Linked DNA regions of Macaca mulatta. The protein of the gene in region 2 purifies or fractionates together with the protein of the main gene of each other region. This does not show direct contact. Links are inferred from orthologs where the notes say so. Each region holds a gene or a part of one and is shown on either strand. Other genes may lie near its edges.

Region 1 (4,318 bases), on a different chromosome or scaffold from region 2:
GATTTTAACTGTGGAATAATTTAAAAGACATCTTATGCAGAAACTCAATTGTCAAAGCGGATAAAAGTAGATCTAATCTAGTTTAAGAGAGAAGTATGAGCCTTGCTTACTTGAGAAAAAGGTATTTATTTCCCCTAAGAAGCTCCCCAAAGCAGCTCCACAAAACCCCGAGAGCAGTTATAAACCCATGGGTTTAGTTTGACTTTTTCTCATATTACAGATAAGGAAATGGAGGAAACCAAGGCCTCCAAAGGTTAAGTTTCTTATCCTAAGTAAAGGAGCTATTAGTAATGCTTATGAATAAGTGCATTGAGTTAGTAGTTAACACTAGTAATGGTGGGTGACTTACACAGGATTGAATCCTTGGTAAATCTACATCAACAAGAGTTCTTAATTAGCAACTATTTTCCTACACTGTCACATTGGTGGTCTACTTCATATCTATACTCAAAGACATCAACTACCTTTCCTAAATTCATGGCAGATAAATGACTTCAGATCTCTGTACTACACGTAATTAATGGAAGCCACACCTTTCTGCACATACCATTTCAATTATTATAAACTAATAGCGCCTTTGATTCTGTTCTTTACTCCAGGCCCTTGTATACAACTGGGTGATTCGAATTCAACTGTCCTGGTTTGAGAACATTTCTGACCAAGGGAACTTAGGAAAATAGTCGTGAGGAATTAAGCATGAAATATACAACACCACGTCCTGCCATGTGTCTGTATATCCAAAGAGCCCACTCCATTGAATAAACCTTTCTCACCTGGGAATTTGGCTGGAATGCAGCATGGGGTGTTGAGTGTTTCTGTAAATTTTCTAGCATTAGAGCCTGGTATAGAGAAGGGTAAAAGTCAGAAATGATGAGGAAAAAAAAAGAAAAACTCCCACCTCTACCACAACCTCTTAATTAAATGCAATGACTTAAATACACACAATTAAACTGTATTCCTCTTCCAGGGACCTGAAAATCCTTTACTGACACTGTTCTCATTCATCACCAGAAGACCCTTAAAGGTAGCCACGGTTACTGTTACTAAACGTACAGATATAAAATGCAGGCACACAGAATCAGTGACCTGGCTATGTCACAATATCAGTAATAGAACCAGTACTAAAATCCCTGTTGTCTTCTGCACTTGTGCCAAGTGCCCCTTCTAAATCTGATCATGCAGGTAAAACTACTTAAAAATACTCAAACCAGCAGCCATGGGGCTCCTGGTTTTTGCCTGATGGAATTACTTGGTCAAAGGGTTACCCAGGACTAGAGTCAATTTGTATAATTTCCAGTACTGTGGCACCTAGATTTACCAAATTTACAAAATTTTCAAAGAGGAGGCTACAGAAGAAAATGACCAGAGACCCTGTGAACTGTGGTCTAACCTAGTCCGTCCATCCACACACACACACACACACAATCAACTTCTGTATAAGCAACGGTCTGCCAACTCAACCCTGGAGCCAACCCAGACCTAATCTGCACTACCTGCCACGTATCCTATTGAACTCTAATTAAAACCAAGACATCCTCATCTTCCCTTCTTTAAACCAAACCTATACACTCGAATCGATCTACACCTACCTCATGACATTCCCACCTTAATCTACTTAAACTGATTCAAAATCCCCAATATGTATCAACCTGCCTCGCCTCTCTCACCAATATTCACCAAACTCTTAACTACCCAAATTGCCACTAGATGCCCTATAAATTAGACACCTCTCTCATCAAGTCCCTTCACATAAAGGTCTCTCTTCATCTCACCTCATCTAATCGAGCAGACATTTTACCCTACCCCAATCCTATTCCTGCAGATACCGATACCAACCCCATCCACCCCTCCGCGCAACTATACCCCTAACTCCGACCCAGCCCAACTCGCCCCCCTCAGGCCAGCAACGCCGTAGGTTGTAGTGGGATTTAACTCCTTCTGCAGCGCATGCGCCGAAACCACAGATACAAACAAGGAGGGGGTGGGGGAAGGAGGAAGGAGCTTAAGACACTCCTGGAGAGTAGTGCACACCCTCCCATTTGGGCTCGCGCTGCTGCCGTTAAGGCGGGAACCGGCGCGATCGCCATTCCAGCGCGAACCTCACCAACCACCGTGCGCGCGGATCCAGAGGCTCGCGCTGGCGGCCTGAGCGAGCTCGCGCCGAGCCCGGATACTGCGCCTGCGCCGCGGCAGAGGCTCGTCTCTACCGGGTCCGCTCTCCTCCGACACCCCAGCAACGCCGACTCCTCACCCCTTTGAGCCGCTTGACCAGGGCACTCTTCTGCCCGCTCTTGGCTAGGCCTCGCTGCTCCAGTGCGGCCTTCAGGTCGGTCACCCGCAGCGCCTGAAGAGGCTTCCCGTCCAGAGTCACCTCCTCCAGCTCCGCCATCTTGCGTGAGGTACTCGGGTCCGTCCCGACGGCTTCGGGCATCTTCGGTAATTTCCGCCAACGCCCTTCGAACGTACCGAGATGACCCCGCCCACTGCCATACTCTACCCCTCGATTACCACTCAGAACTCCCCGGCTTCCTCCGGATGTCCTCGGATATTTCCGTCTCCACATCGGCACCAATCAATTCTTTCCATCCGCCCTGCAGCTCCCCTATTCTCGCCCTGCTTTCAGGCTCGGTTTTCTTCGTCTTGCCGAAGCTTTGAATCGAATATATTCGGAAGCCCTCGACTCTGGTATAACCATAATCGGAGATGTTCGTTTATCTCCGGACCTAGAGATGAGGCGCTGGGGCTCTTGGGTGTTTGGGGCGGGTCCGAGGCCGGAAGTGCGTGGGCTGCCGGGCTGGCCCAGCTTAGGGTTTTCAGGAAATTTGGAAGCTGCAGCGGTAGTTGGAGTCTAAGGACTCCTGACAATCTTCGGGTGCCGTCCGAGAGAAAAGGGGAGGTAAGCGGGGTGGAAGTACCTCTATGGGCCGGGTCAGACTCGGTGTTTGCGGACTATCCTAATAGGGCAAGCCACCTACTTCTTAACGCGAACCGCTTCTGCCCTCTGTCCTCTGAATCCCAGCCACTCCCATCTTAGGCTTTTTTTTTGGTGGGGCCTGTGGAGGGGGGCGGAATCGGAATAACAAGCTCCGTGGCCTCCAAAGTGGGGAAGAGGCAGGCAGCGCCGTGTCTTCAGACCCAGACTATGAACTGATTTATGACGCTCAACTTGAGTTTGAGTTTGCGTTTGCCTTGGAAGCCGTGTGGCAAGAAAATTCTCCATTTCTCCGAAGAAGAGAGTAAGTTCCCTTGGAGGAACTGCTTCCTGTAGGGCAAGAACTGAAAAATGCAAGCGCCCTGAACTTTTTTGGTACTTGAACTCATATTGTTTAGGGGCTTCTTTCTTTGTCACTAGCAATCCTCCAACTTGATGCAGAAGAAACACAAACAGTAAAATAGGTCACAGACAAATGGTTTAGAGATTTAAGAGATATGTTAGAGATTTAAGAGACTGAAAACTATTGAAGTCAAATAGGCTGATCTTTCCGTTGCATTCACGATGCAAAATTAATGTCAAGGCGCCGGGCGCGGTGGCTCATGCCTATAAGCACTTTGGGAGGCCGAGGCAGGCGGATCACTTGAGGTCAGGAATTGGAGACCAATCTGGCCAATATGGTGAAACCCCGTCTCTAGTAAAAATACAAACAAATTAGCCGGGCGTACGCCTATATTCCCAGCTGCTCGGGAGGCTGAGGCAGGAGAATTGCTTGAACCCGGGAAGCGGAGGTTGAAGTGAGCTGAGATCACGCCATTGCACTCCAGCCTGGGCGACAGAGCAAGACTCCGTCTCAAAAATAAATAAATAAATAAATAAATAGCAAGGCACCAATAGATGCCATACTAAAAAAAAAAAAATTTTTTTTGTCACTCCACTCTGGGTCATTCCACTCTGAACCAGGCTAGAGTGCAGTGGTGTGATCAGGGCTCACTACAGCCTCAACCTCCCGGGCTCAGGTGATCCTCCTACCTCAGCCTCCTAAGTAGCTAGGACTACAGTTAGGCACCTCTACGCCCAACGAGTTTTTAAATTTTTTGTAGAGATGAGGTTTTGCCATGTTGCCCAGGCTGGTCTTGAACAACTGGATTCAAGCTATCCTCTTGCCTCGGCCTCCCAAAGTGCTGAGATTACTTTGGAAGTGAAAGAGCCACTGTGTCTGGCCCATACTAAATATTAAGGGCAATTGTTTAAAAACATGGATTGTCATGAAGTAGTGTAACAGTTGTTAGATCTCTAAGCCAACAAACCAACTGGACTCTCTTTAAAGTCTCAAACACCCGGGCTTCTGGTTCTTTTACTGCGTTACCTTATTTTGAGCAAGGC
Region 2 (4,121 bases):
GGGTCTCACTCTGTAGCCCTGGCTGGAGTGCAGTGGTGCCATCACGGCTCACTGCAGCCTCCAACTCCTGGGCTCAAGTGATCCTCCTATCTCTGCTGGGACCACAGGCACGAGCCACCAGCCCCTGCAAAATTTAATTTTTGTAGAGACAGAGTCTTGCTATGTTGGGCAGGTTGGTCTGGAACTCCTGGCTTCAAGCGATTTTCCTGCCTTGGCCTCCCAAAGGGCCGGAATTACAGGCTGCAGCCTCCGTGTTCGGCTGTAAATAGCTACTTTTGACAGCATAACGGTCTCTGGTCAGGTGTGATTACATTCTTGGGAGGAGAAGAAAGAAACAATTATTCCTTTTGGTAGTCTGTATCTTAGGCAGATAAAGACCTGCGCTTTGGGAGAGATGGTGGGCACCGGGAAGGAACATTGAGGCTTCTTCAGTTCGGCATGTCAGTGCGCCATATTTTGGGGTTTCGATTTCTGAGCCCCAACAGCATTGCAAAAAGTTCAGGAAATAGAAGAGGAAAAGCTAATGATTTGCCCACGGGTTATCATCTCTGATTGCATTTCCATGTCTTCCTCCCTTCTATTTCCAAATGTAAATGTAATTATGGTTTGCGCACAATTTTGTATCCTGCTTTGTCGTTAACAAGTCAGGGTTTTTAAAGTTTGTAAATGGTTTACTAATGGCCACATAACACCCATTAATTTGGCTAACTTCCCTACTGCTGGGTATTTACATTGTTTCCACGTTTTGTAATTACCAGTAATGTGGCAACAAACAGTCTTGAGAGGTTTGCTTTTTCCCAGTTTTTTGTTGTTATTGTTGTTTGTTTGTTTTTGAGACATCTCGCTCTGTCGCCCAGGCTGGAGTGCAGTGGTGCGATCTGCGCTCACTGCAACCTGCGCCTCCCGGGTTCAAGCGATTATCTTGCCTCATTCTCCCGAGTAGCTGGGATTACAGGCGCGCGCCACCACACCTGGCTAATTTTTGTATTTTTAGTAGAGACGAGGTTTTGCCATGTTGGCCAGGCTGTTCTCGAACTCTTGACTTCAGGTGATCCGCCAGCCTCGGCCTCCCAAAGTTCTGGGACTACAGGCGAGAGTCACCACGCCCAGCCAGAAGTTTGTTTTTGAAACTTGAAACTCCCGCCACCCAAGCCGGTCACTGTGGCTACGCCCACTAGGGAGTAGTCACGTGTTTAATATCTGCCGCGAGGATTTCTGGGAGGTTGGGCACCCCGGAAGCGGAAGTCCAGGAGTCAAACTCGTCATTTCCTTCAGCTAGAGGAGCTCAACGGATCTGTTTTCTTTCGCTCAGCCAAAATCACAGAATGAAGGCGGTGAAGAGCGAACGGGAGCGAGGGAGCCGGCGAAGACACCGGGACGGGGACATGGTGCTGCCGGCGGGGGTGGTGGTGAAGCAGGAGCGTCTCAGCCCAGAAGTCGCACCTCCCGCCCACCGCCGTCCGGACCACTCCGGCGGTAGCCCGTCTCCGCCGACCAGCGAGCCGGGCCGCCCGGGCCACCGCGGGAACCGAGCCCGAGGAGTTAGCCGGTAAGTGGGGGAGCAGCCCAGGATGGACGTTGGGTTGGGCTCATTCAGAAAGGCGGGCAGGGCTAGCATCCGAAACAGGTTTTGAATGCTGGGCGCAGCAGCCCGGACTTAATCCTGAGGGACTGTTGAGAGTGATCCAGTCGTGCTTGTGTTATGCTTGCTCTGTCACTTGCCTTATAGCTCGGTGTTCAACGCCTAATGACACACCGGCAGGATCCCACTCCTTCATTCTTGTGTCCCCAGCACTTCGAAGAGTGTAGCCCAACAGATAGCACTGATAATCTGTTAAATTGGAATGAGATTTTCCCCATCCCGCCCACAAATGGAGTGTGGGCCTTGTCTTTCCAGTTACCTGCCAGAAAGGTTTTCACATCGAGGTCTAGGCGAGCTACCTAACAGAAACTGGAAAAATAAAAATAAAAAAAGTTACTTCTTGCTAGACTCATTTATTTATGCATTCATTCACCATAGTTTTACTGAGTGCCTATTTTAAGTGTGAAAGACTGCCCTAGGTATTGGGGCTGCAAGGGCGATTCAGTTAGATGATCTTCACCAGTGCCAAATTGGCCGTGCTCTAACCCTGAGACAGATGATTAAAAAAAAAAAAAAGTTTCAATAACAAGTATTATTGATAGGTTATAACAGTAATGTGATAGAGATTGGAGAGAAGAGGGAGGAGGCCTCTTTAAAGAGGTGCCATTTGAGTCCAGACCTGAGTGATAGGAATGATTCAACCTCTTAAAGATCCAGGCAGAGGAAACAACATCTGCAAAGAACTTGAAGTAGAATGAATTATGATTGAAATGGGAAAAAGCCAGTGTCGGTGGAGTATAGTGGTCAAGAAGGTGGGTGGTAGGAATGAGATGGCATAGGGAGGAAGTAGAACCACAGGATGGAGGGATTGTTCCTGATGCTAGGGGTGTTGGTAGTGAGGGATAAAGAATCAAGGGTGACTTCCGGATGGTGATGCCAGTTAGCAAGATGGCAAGGAGTAGGAGAGGAAAGGTTTTTGAAGGGTTGGAAATTAAGAGTTTTGTTACCTAAGTGAGAAGGTTCAGTAGACAGTTGTCTATGTGAGTATGGAATGCAAGGGAGACGTTAGAGCTAGGAAAATGAACCTCGTGACTCCTTTAATGTGATTGGCAGATACCTTCACAAAAGCAGTGTTTGTGTTAGTAGGTAAGCCTGATACTGGAAGCTAATTTTTATGGGGGAAGGGAAATTGCGATAAAATCCTGTGTACCATGCTCTGTATAGGTCCCCACCCAAAAAGAAAAACAAGTCCTCAGGGAGAAGAAGCAAGTCTCCTCGGAGTAAGAGAAACCGAAGTCCTCACTACTCAACAGTCAAAGTGAAGCAGGTAAGTGGATTGGGGTGTTTTGATGTTGGGTCCAAATTGAGAGCCTTTTCCTATCACAGCTAAAGAGGGCTGTGTGTGTGTGTATTGTGTGTGTGCGCGTGTGTGCACGCACACTCGCCTACATCTCTACCTGTACCTCCAATGGGCTTTTCTGAAAACTGGGTGTATTTCTTTTTTCTGCTTGTTTGCTTAAATTAAACTTTTTATTTTGAGATTATTATTGGTTCACATATGGTTGTCAGAAATAATTCAGGGAGATATACTCTTCCTGGTTTCTCCCAGTGGTAGCATCTATTCATAATAGAACTGTGGTACAATATCATCATCAGAATATTGACATCGATATAGTCAAGATAACATTTCCTTCACCACAAGGAATACCTCATGTTGTCCTTTTGTAGCCACACACACTTATCTCCCACTTTTATCCTTCCTTAACTTCTGTCAACTTCTAATCTGTTCTTCATTTCTATAATTCTGTCATTTCAAGAATGTTATGTAAGTGGAATCATACAGTATGTAACCTTTAGGATTGTCTTTTCTCACTCAGCAGAATCCTTTGGAGATTGATTCAGGTTGCAGCTCTCAGTAGTTTGTTCTATTTCATTGCTGAGTGGTATCCATATGGCATGGATTTAGCCACTTACTCATTAAAGAACATCTGGGTTGTTTCCATTTTTTGGCTATTACACATAAAGCTGCTATATACACATTTGTGTACGGGTTTTTATGTGAACATAAGAGTTCATTTCTCTGGAGTGCAATTGCTGGATTGTACGGTAGTTGCAGGTTTAATTCTTTTAAGAAATTGCCAGACTGTTTTCCAGAGTGGCTGTATTAGTTTCCTAGGGCCACCATAATGAAATACCATAGAGTAGGTGGCTTAAACAACAGAAATTCATTTTCCTGTAGTTCTGGGGCTAAAAGTCAAAAATTAGGGTGTTAGCAGGTTTGGATTCTCCTGAAAAAAATCCTCTTTCCTTGGCTTGCAGATGGCTACCTCTTTGCTGTATCCTTAAATGATCTTTTTTCTGTCCTGGTGTCTTTTCTCAGCCATATTGGATTAGGGCCCTGCCCTCATTTTTTAACTTAATCAGCTCTTTAAAGACCTTATCTCCAAAAACAGTTATTAATACATTCTGAGGTACTTGGGTTTGGTACTTTAACTTGCTAATTTTGGAGAGTACAGTTTAGTCCGTAACAGTGGCTGTA
Region 3 (4,144 bases), on a different chromosome or scaffold from region 2:
AGATACTAGAGTAGACAAATTTACAGAGAGAAAGTAGAAAGGTGGCTGCCAGGAACTTGGGAAAAGAGGGAAATGGGGAGTTACTGTTTAATGGATACAGAGTTTCAGTTTTGCAAGATGGAAAATGTTCTGTGGATGGATGGTCGGTACTGAGGGTCGCACAACCGTGTGAAATACAATTAATGCCAGTGAACTGTACACTTAAAAATGGTTAAAATGGCAACTGTAATGTAATGTATATTTTATAGTTAAAAAACTTAAACGATAGTGTGGTACTGATACACAGATCATTGGAACAAAAATCCAGAAATAGACCCACACAAATTTGGTCACAAGGCTAAGGTAATTCAATGTGTAAGAGTCTTTTCAACAAATGGTAATGGAACGACTGTATATCCCGATAGGAAAATGTGACACTTGACAACATAAGCAAAAATTAATGCTATTAGATCATAGACTTACACGTAAAAGACTATGTAAAACATATATGAGAACACAGAATATCTTCACGAACTTGAGGTAGGCAGAGATTTCCTAGCACAGAAAAAGCACAAACCATAAAAGATTGACTTCACCAGAATTAAAAACAACTTTGCCAAAAACATACTCAAAACAATGAAACGACAGGCCCAGACTGGGAGAAAGACTTCGCAATCATTTATGTAACAAAAGATTTTTATTCAGAACATACATATATCTATCTAACAAAACATTTGTATCCAGAGCTGCTAAACACGAAGAACCAGATTTAAAAACGCGCAAAGACTGGAACTGAAACTTCAGAAAAGATGCAGAATGGCCAGTAAGCACAGAACAGAAACGGTGCCAGTGACGCTGGTGCCAAAGCGGGAAGGAACACATTCCTCAGCCTAAAAGACCTAACAGTAGGACACGGACATAACCATCCCCGGCCAACAGGAACACAGAGTGACACGACCTCTTGGCTAACGAAAACTCAAAGCCTCAATTCACTCAGCTCCTTCACAGCGCTCAGAAACAGGGAAGTCTGGCGGTATCCGAAAATGCCGCAGACGCTCACAGCCGGACGAGACGGAGGGCGCAGGCGCATCCACGGCTTTCACATTGGGCAACTGACTTCAAAGCGGGGGGGCAAACAGGGAGCGCGCAGGTATAGGAGCGCCGGCTGGAGGCTCCTCGAGAGCTCCCCAGACACGCCCCCGAGCGTGCGCCCCCGCTGCCACCACCTCCGGTTGACCACCCCCATCTAGACTGTACTCTCGCGGTATTTGTCCCGACTCTCGCGGGATTTAGCGTGGCTTTGGGAGGCCGGGCCCGGAGGAGGAGGTGGCGTTCCGTTAGCGGCGTTGGGGTCTGGCTGCAGTGGCAGTGCTTTCTCCTCTGCTCACTGGGACCCGCTCAGGCTGGAGGCCAGCCAGGTGAAGAGCTCGCCCGCATGCGTACGCGCTGCGTGGGAGCCGCGAGGCCTGGGGCGGGAGGGGGCCTCGTCTTGGCCTCCTGCGCTGTTGCGACGGGCCGGCGTGAGGCACCGTGGCGCGGACTTCGTCTCAGCCCCGCCCTCGCCCGTGCCCTCGCCCCCGCCCTCGCCCCTGCCCTGACCGCTTTCCTCCCCCTCTCTCCCAGCTCTTGCCGCCACCTCGGTCGCGATGGGGGCGCAGGACCGGCCGCAGTGCCACTTCGACATCGAGATCAACCGGGAGCCGGGTGAGCTGGAGACTGGGGAGCGCTGCTGGGGCCGAGGCCTGCCTAGGCGAAGGGGAGGGGTCTACCCTCAGTAACCCTCCCCCCGTCCTTTTTGGGAGCGGGTAGGAGGCGCAGTCAACTTTCCATTTTCTCTTGAGAGAAAATCAGTGGGAGAGGAAGGTGGCCTGGGCACACCCCAAACTCGCAGTCCAGGCCTCTTCCTCCCAAACCCCACACCGCCCCCTGCATCTCCGGACTGAGTCCTAGTAGCCAGCCTGGCGCCAAGAAAAGGAGGTGCAGTTCTTTGAGGACTTTTTCTCTCCCAGTGTCTCCGTGGGGCAGACACTTCCGATCCGATTTCCGGTTATCTTGCTTGGTGCCATGAAGTTTCAACTAGTAGGAAATGTGTGTTTCCTAATCACGATATATCACTACTTTAATGTTAACGCTGCCTCTATTTTTCCTTAAGAATCTTTAGCTAGAATTTCGTGGTTCCTGGGAAAATGGCTTAATGAACGTCCTTTGTGATAAACCAGAGCATTCTGTATCAGCAGAATTGCAGCATGCATGCACTTAGCGTTACTGTTTTGTCTTTTGGGAGTCCAGCCATTTGTTAAAGTGTATTTTTTTGAAAATGAAACATTTCCTTCTAGAGCATAGTTACTTTATTCTAAGTAGCAGAGCGTGCAGGGTTTCAAACTGTTTTCTTAGGTTTTTTTGTTATCTGTGACAGAAGTTTTAATTGGAGGCATATATATACACTGTGCAACATCTTGTTCTGCATATTCTTATGAGAACCTGCTACTGTTCTAGGGTCTGGAGATAGAGCAGCGCATAAAACAAAGGCCACTCTTCCTTTTATAGTTTATATTCTATTGGGGGGAAGACAGACAACTAGGAAGAAAACAGTGACTTGCAGTTGGGATACTATTTTAATAAGTTGGTCAGACAAGGCCATTTTGAGAAGATGACATTTAAGCAGGTATCAGAAAGAGATGAAGTGAGCCATATTTAAGAAGAGCATTCGTGGTAGAGGGAAACAGCACAGCCCTGAGGTGAGAAGTAGTATACAGTCAGGCGCCAAATGACATTTCTGTCTCTTAACAGTGGTCTTATATAGAATACTTTTTTTTGTGTAACTTTTTAATGTTTACCTATGTTTACATACACAAATACTTCATTGTGTTAAAGTTGCCTACGGTATTCAGTGGAGTAACATCCTGTACAGGTTTGTAGCCTAGGAGCAAATAGACCATATAGCTTAGGTGTGTAGTAGGCCGTACCATCTAGGTGCGTTTAAGTACATTCCATGATGTTCACACAATGATGAAATTGCCTAATTACACATTTCTCAGAATCCGTCCTGGTTATTAAACAATAGAGGACTGTACTTGCATGTTTGACGGACAGCAAGGTGCCCAGTGTGGCTGGAGTAGAAGAGGGAAGAGAATAGTAGAAAGGGCCTGTAGGACTGACTCAGTGAGGTAGGAAGATATTAAAGAGTTTTGAGCAAAGGAATGAGATAATCCTAAAAATTTGGTTGCCTTCTCTCTCTCTTTTTAATGTTTTTAGCCTTGATTGATCTTTGTTTTTAAGTTAGAGTTACTAGAAAGCCTTGATGGACTTTAATCTTTATTCTGTAGTGAATCCATGCGTCAGATAACAGGGTTATTTTTTGTTAAGAATTAAAAATAGGCCAGGCTCGGTGACTCACGCCTATAATCCCAACACTTTGGGAGGCAGACACGGGTGGATCATTTTGAGCTCAGGAGTTCGAGATCAGCCTGGCCAACATGGTGAACCCCATCTCTACAAAAAATACAAAAATTAGCTGGGCGTGGTGGCTCTCTTAGTTTTTGCCTGTAGTCCCAGCTACTTGGGAGGCTGAGACTGGAGGATTGCTTGAGCTTGGTAAGCGAAGGTTGCAGTGAGTAGAGATTATACCACTGCATGTCAGCCTGGGTAATGGAGCGAGACCCTGTCTCAAAAAAAAAAAAAAGAAAAGAAAAATAGTAGATTGCTGAAAGATAAAAGTACGGTGGCGCTCATACCAGTAATCCCAGTACTTGGGGAGGCTCAGGCAGGAGGATTGCTTGAAGCCAGGAGTTTGAGACCAGCCTGGACAATATAGCAAGACCCTGTCTCTACAAATATAATTTTTTTTAGTTAGCCAGGCATGGTGGTGCTCACCTGTACTTGGAAGTGTGAGGTGGAAGGATGGTTTGAGCTCAGGAATTTAAGGCTGCCATGAGCTATGATTGCACCACTGCACTCCAGCTTGGTCAACAGAGCAAGATCCTGTTTCTAAAAAAAAATTCAAAAAAAGAAATTTAAAAAGCTTAAGAAAGTACAAGTAAAAATTTCTGTAGTTATGTTAAGTACTCCTTTCCTAGTAAATGTTGAGGTCCTAGATTTGCACATAACCTGTGTTGTGAAAAATCTCCAGAAAATGTTTGACAAATGTTCAATGAACCTCAGTCCT
Region 4 (4,075 bases), on a different chromosome or scaffold from region 2:
TTAGCTATGATATCAACAACTGTCATATTGCAACACAATGTTTAAGTAAGGCTGTTCTATAAAAAGTTAAACCAAGTTTTCATTTGGCTTTATTTTAGGTTTACAATTAAGTCTTAAAACAGCTTTAAGGCTTAAAAAAAAATTAATCTACTACTTTGATAACTTAAATACATGATGCAAAACAAAACTTGGATAAATACCCTTTCAGTAGCAACAGTGGATTCTTGTTTAAATTTTTGAAGGGTACCCATCAACAAGCCAAATATTCGCCGGTTCCTAAAGAACAGAATAAGAAAATTTACTGTCAACAGGATCCATTTCATTTAAACCCATCATTTTCTAAGAAACACTACAGGACACTTGAACAATCCCTTAATTTTCCTTATAACTGCATTATTTCACAAGAGTTTTTTTCCCCCAGGGAAATACCTTTGCTTTCCCTTTTCATCCATATTTTGATCCTGGATAAGGTCTCTACGCGTGCGCTCTTTGGAGGTAGCTACAACTGAAGACTGCAATGCTGGCTGCAGAAAAAGAAAATCTCAGTAATTAACTAGCATATGAGTGGTGTGCTTTCAAATGTAGTAAAGTGAAGGTACTACATTCGTTTAAGTTCCTTCAATCTCAATACCTTTTTAACATCATCATCCTCTGGGTCGCTTTCCTGGCGTGATTCTCTTCTGGTCCGACGCTCCCCACCCAGCCTGTCATAGACAAAATTACTTTTTTTGAGACAGTGTTTCACTATACCATCCAGGCTGAAGTGCAGTGGTGCCACCACAGTTCACTGCAGCCTCGACCTCCCAGGTTCAAGTGATCCTCTTGCCTCATCCTCCCAAGCTGGGACTACAGGCGTGAGCCAGCATGCCTGGGTAACTTTTTTGTACTTTTTGTAGGGATGTGATTTCACCATGTACCTAGGCTGGTCTGGAACTCCTGGGCTCAAGTGATCTGCTGGCCTTGGCTTCCCAAAGTGCTGGGATTACAGGGATAAGCCACTGTACCTGGCCAGAAATTAATTTAAATGACCAGAGGTATTTATGTAACTGCACACCAAAGGCAAATGCCCTCTCTTTCTAGGACTCATTTCCAGAAGCTTTGTTCTATCAAGTCTCCATTCCATTTTATTCTTTCCTCCAGCAGAGAAAGAATACAACATGTGAACTAACACCCAAACTAACTCTGCTCTCCTGTATTTTCTAAGTATTTCAAACTGGTTAAGTATTTCAATTACAAGTCAGAAAAAAATGGTACTAATTGACAATTTTTCCAAATTTACTCTTCACCTGACCTTTATTTTGATAAACTGTGGGTTATCATGAGTGCAGAACTGTGTTTTGAGAGAACTGACTCAGTTCAATCAAATACCAAGAGAACTTGTGAGGGGGGGGAAGTGGCACACTACTCAATTGTAATATTACTCAAACAGCATTATTATTAATAAATATTTGTATTTGTGTTGTACATCAGAAACTAAAGAAGACTTCAGGAATCTTTTTACAGACCTACCTACTGACTGCCCCTTCAAGGTCTCTCTGTTTGGCTGGGGGTCCTCCTCCACTATCTGAGAATCCACGCCTGAAATTTAAAATGTTCAACATAAAGCACTTGAAATACAAGATAAACGGTATTTCCATTTGACAAGAGAATATGGTTGAAATTTTAAAAACCTTTCCAACTAAAGTAGCCTTAAATGGGCATTCATTCCCAAAATGCTTTTAGTGTTACTTTAAACTATAAGAATTAAGTTCACTCAAAATTGGTACACTTAATATATTCTTCGACCTCCAGTTTTTCAGGATAACTGTATTTATACGGAAACCTAGTCTATCACAAGCATTAAACAAAGACAACAAACACTGGGTTATCGATTTTATCACAGGTTTTGTGCAAGCCAATATATTTGTAAGTAAAGTACCAGTAGTTTCAGCATGAGTAAAGTCCAAAGGAAATCTTACCTCAGTAATAAACTACCACGTCCTCTACCTCCACCAGGACCAGAAAGGGCCAGCAATCTGGCTTGGATGGGCCTGTAAGAGATTTACAAATCAGTGCAAGATCATATGCAGACACACATAGTTGCACCAATTACTTTCAGAGATATGGATCCAAGGAGAAAATCGCAAAAGTTCCAAAAAGATAGTTTCAAATAAACCCAAGTGTCTGAAACAGGACAGGACGTACTATTTCATTTAACTTCCTCGTTTCTCCAGGACCTGTATCACAGAAATTATAATCACCTCGATGCCCCCACACATTGAAAAGCCTGAATCAGGTCCCCATCCCGCCATCCCCGAGGAAGCTGCACGTGGGCAAGAGGTTGGGGTGAAGTGGCTAGTGGCGTCCCGGCAGGGTCTCGGGGCCAGCCCTGGGCCGGGTGCCCGCCAGAGCGGGAAGGGGCTTTGTGCTGCAGTTCCGGGCCTGCAGGGCCGAGGGCGGGAATCAGTAGTCTGGGTCTTCTCACAGGCCTGAGAAACCATGCCGGCGTATCCAGGACTCGCTCTCCTTTCTCAGGAACCTGAGACCAGCGCTCTACGATGGGGGCCTGGGGCTTTTCCACCTCGGCGAGAACATGGTTTTACCCGCCGCCCCGCGAACAGGCCTCGAGGTTCCAGCCTTCTGAAGGCTGGCCGCCCTCCCCGCCCCCAATTCACCCCGACCAGAGGGCTGCCTCTCCGAGCTCCGAGTTCCCGTTAAGCCCTTACCTCACGTCATTCGGATCCCGCCCGGTGAGCTTGCGAATATTCTCATCCACGTTCTTAAGGCTCTCTTTGGCCTTTTCTAGCTGTTCCTGCAAAGTTCTCACTGCGACCGCCATCTTCTCCCTGCAGCAGGCCTGAGACTGCTTTACAGGCCGCGCCGGGCTGTGCCGCGCCGCCGAGACGCGAAAGGACTGACAGCCGGGCTCAGCCAATGACGATGAGCGTTGTTTTCCGGCCTCAACCACTCAGCGACCGGAAGGGGGAAGAACCTGCAGCCTTTGTGACTCTGGGCCAATGAAAAGTCAGCCAGGCAGTCACCTCCCTCCCCAATTAGCTGCGGGTGCCTGGATCCCGCTGCTAGCGCAGAGCCGGGGCGGGTTTCACAATCCCTGAGTTCTCAGAGACTTGGCCCGCAAGCCTGCAGTTCTGGCAAGGAGAGCGCGGAGTTTTCCAGGCCTTTTAACCTATGATGTAATGTGCCTTACACAGTTTTAACCTGATCACATCAGGGTGGGACTTAGCCAAGCCTCCTTTTCTTCCTTACCCTCACCTTGGTTAATGGTTTAATTAGAAAAGGGCGCGGCTATTCTGTTGGTGCGCATGCTCAGAGAGGGGGTGGGCGCGTGCTTTCCTCTATTAGGTTAATTTTTTTTTTTTTTTCATACGGAGTCTCGCTCTGTCGCCCAGGCTGGAGTGCAGTGACACCATCTCGGCTCACTGCAACCTTCGCCTCCCAGGTTCAAGCGATTCTCCTGCCTCAGTCTCCCGAGTACCTGGGACTACAGGCGCTTGCCAACACGCCTGGCTAATTTTTGTATTATTAGAGACCGGATTCCACCATGTTGGGCAGTCTGGTCTCGAACTCCTGACCTCAGGTGATCCGCCCGCCTCTACCTCCCAGAGTGCTGGGAATACAGGCTTGAGTCACCACGCCCACCCTGATTAGGCTAAAGTGAGCAGAAGGAAGACAAAAATAAAAACTAGGAAAAGTCATTAATCATAATGACTAACATTGGTTAGGGGTTGATCTTGTTCCCGACCCTCTGTGAAACCCTCTACGTGCCTTATTCCTCACAAACTAAAAGTGTGGATAAAAATGCCTGTTATTACTGATAAGGAAATTGAGACTGGAGATAATATAACTGTCCCTTGGTCGCGCCAGTTGAGAATCAGTCTCTGATTAGACCCTGAGCATCTGTACTAGAGAAAAGAAAGCAATAGCGAGACAGGCAGTCATGGTTGAGTTAGCCTCTTCACCTGGCCTAGAGCTGGTTAAGACCAGGCCTAAGGGAGCGGCCCTATTGTTAGTGGTGTCTGTGTGTGTTGTCCTGCTTCTGGTTCTGCCCTACCTGCACTGCCAGTGTGGGAACCAG

Evidence for each region.
Region 1: the proteins of SNIP1 (region 2) and ACIN1 purify together in Homo sapiens (affinity purification with mass spectrometry; 3 studies listed by BioGRID and IntAct, counting the BioPlex papers as one, with this or other methods). This does not show direct contact. The link is inferred for Macaca mulatta from reciprocal best matches to the Homo sapiens genes SNIP1 and ACIN1.
Region 3: the proteins of SNIP1 (region 2) and NKTR purify together in Homo sapiens (affinity purification with mass spectrometry; 3 studies listed by BioGRID and IntAct, counting the BioPlex papers as one, with this or other methods). This does not show direct contact. The link is inferred for Macaca mulatta from reciprocal best matches to the Homo sapiens genes SNIP1 and NKTR.
Region 4: the proteins of SNIP1 (region 2) and PNN purify together in Homo sapiens (affinity purification with mass spectrometry; 4 studies listed by BioGRID and IntAct, counting the BioPlex papers as one, with this or other methods). This does not show direct contact. The link is inferred for Macaca mulatta from reciprocal best matches to the Homo sapiens genes SNIP1 and PNN.

The regions. Positions count from the first base shown.
Region 1 is NC_133412.1:96,187,075-96,191,392, forward strand, and holds the start of ACIN1 (apoptotic chromatin condensation inducer in the nucleus), read right to left. Parts: upstream 2,802-4,318; 5' UTR 2,564-2,801; coding exon 2,252-2,563; exon of another isoform or gene 840-2,251; coding exon 774-839; exon of another isoform or gene 1-773.
Region 2 is NC_133406.1:203,243,304-203,247,424, forward strand, and holds the start of SNIP1 (smad nuclear-interacting protein 1), read left to right. Parts: upstream 1-1,282; 5' UTR 1,283-1,325; coding exon 1,326-1,549; intron 1,550-2,806; coding exon 2,807-2,909; intron 2,910-4,121. UniProt on the Homo sapiens protein: Required for pre-mRNA splicing as component of the spliceosome. As a component of the minor spliceosome, involved in the splicing of U12-type introns in pre-mRNAs. Down-regulates NF-kappa-B signaling by competing with RELA for CREBBP/EP300 binding.
Region 3 is NC_133407.1:105,948,279-105,952,422, forward strand, and holds the start of NKTR (NK-tumor recognition protein), read left to right. Parts: upstream 1-1,304; 5' UTR 1,305-1,397; intron 1,398-1,578; exon of another isoform or gene 1,579-1,602; 5' UTR 1,603-1,625; coding exon 1,626-1,683; exon of another isoform or gene 1,684-1,699; intron 1,700-4,144. UniProt on the Homo sapiens protein: PPIase that catalyzes the cis-trans isomerization of proline imidic peptide bonds in oligopeptides and may therefore assist protein folding. Component of a putative tumor-recognition complex involved in the function of NK cells.
Region 4 is NC_133412.1:112,288,192-112,292,266, reverse strand, and holds the start of PNN (pinin), read right to left. Parts: upstream 2,850-4,075; 5' UTR 2,819-2,849; coding exon 2,706-2,818; intron 2,031-2,705; coding exon 1,959-2,030; intron 1,579-1,958; coding exon 1,510-1,578; intron 705-1,509; coding exon 632-704; intron 525-631; coding exon 430-524; intron 277-429; coding exon 201-276; intron 1-200. UniProt on the Homo sapiens protein: Transcriptional activator binding to the E-box 1 core sequence of the E-cadherin promoter gene; the core-binding sequence is 5'CAGGTG-3'. Capable of reversing CTBP1-mediated transcription repression.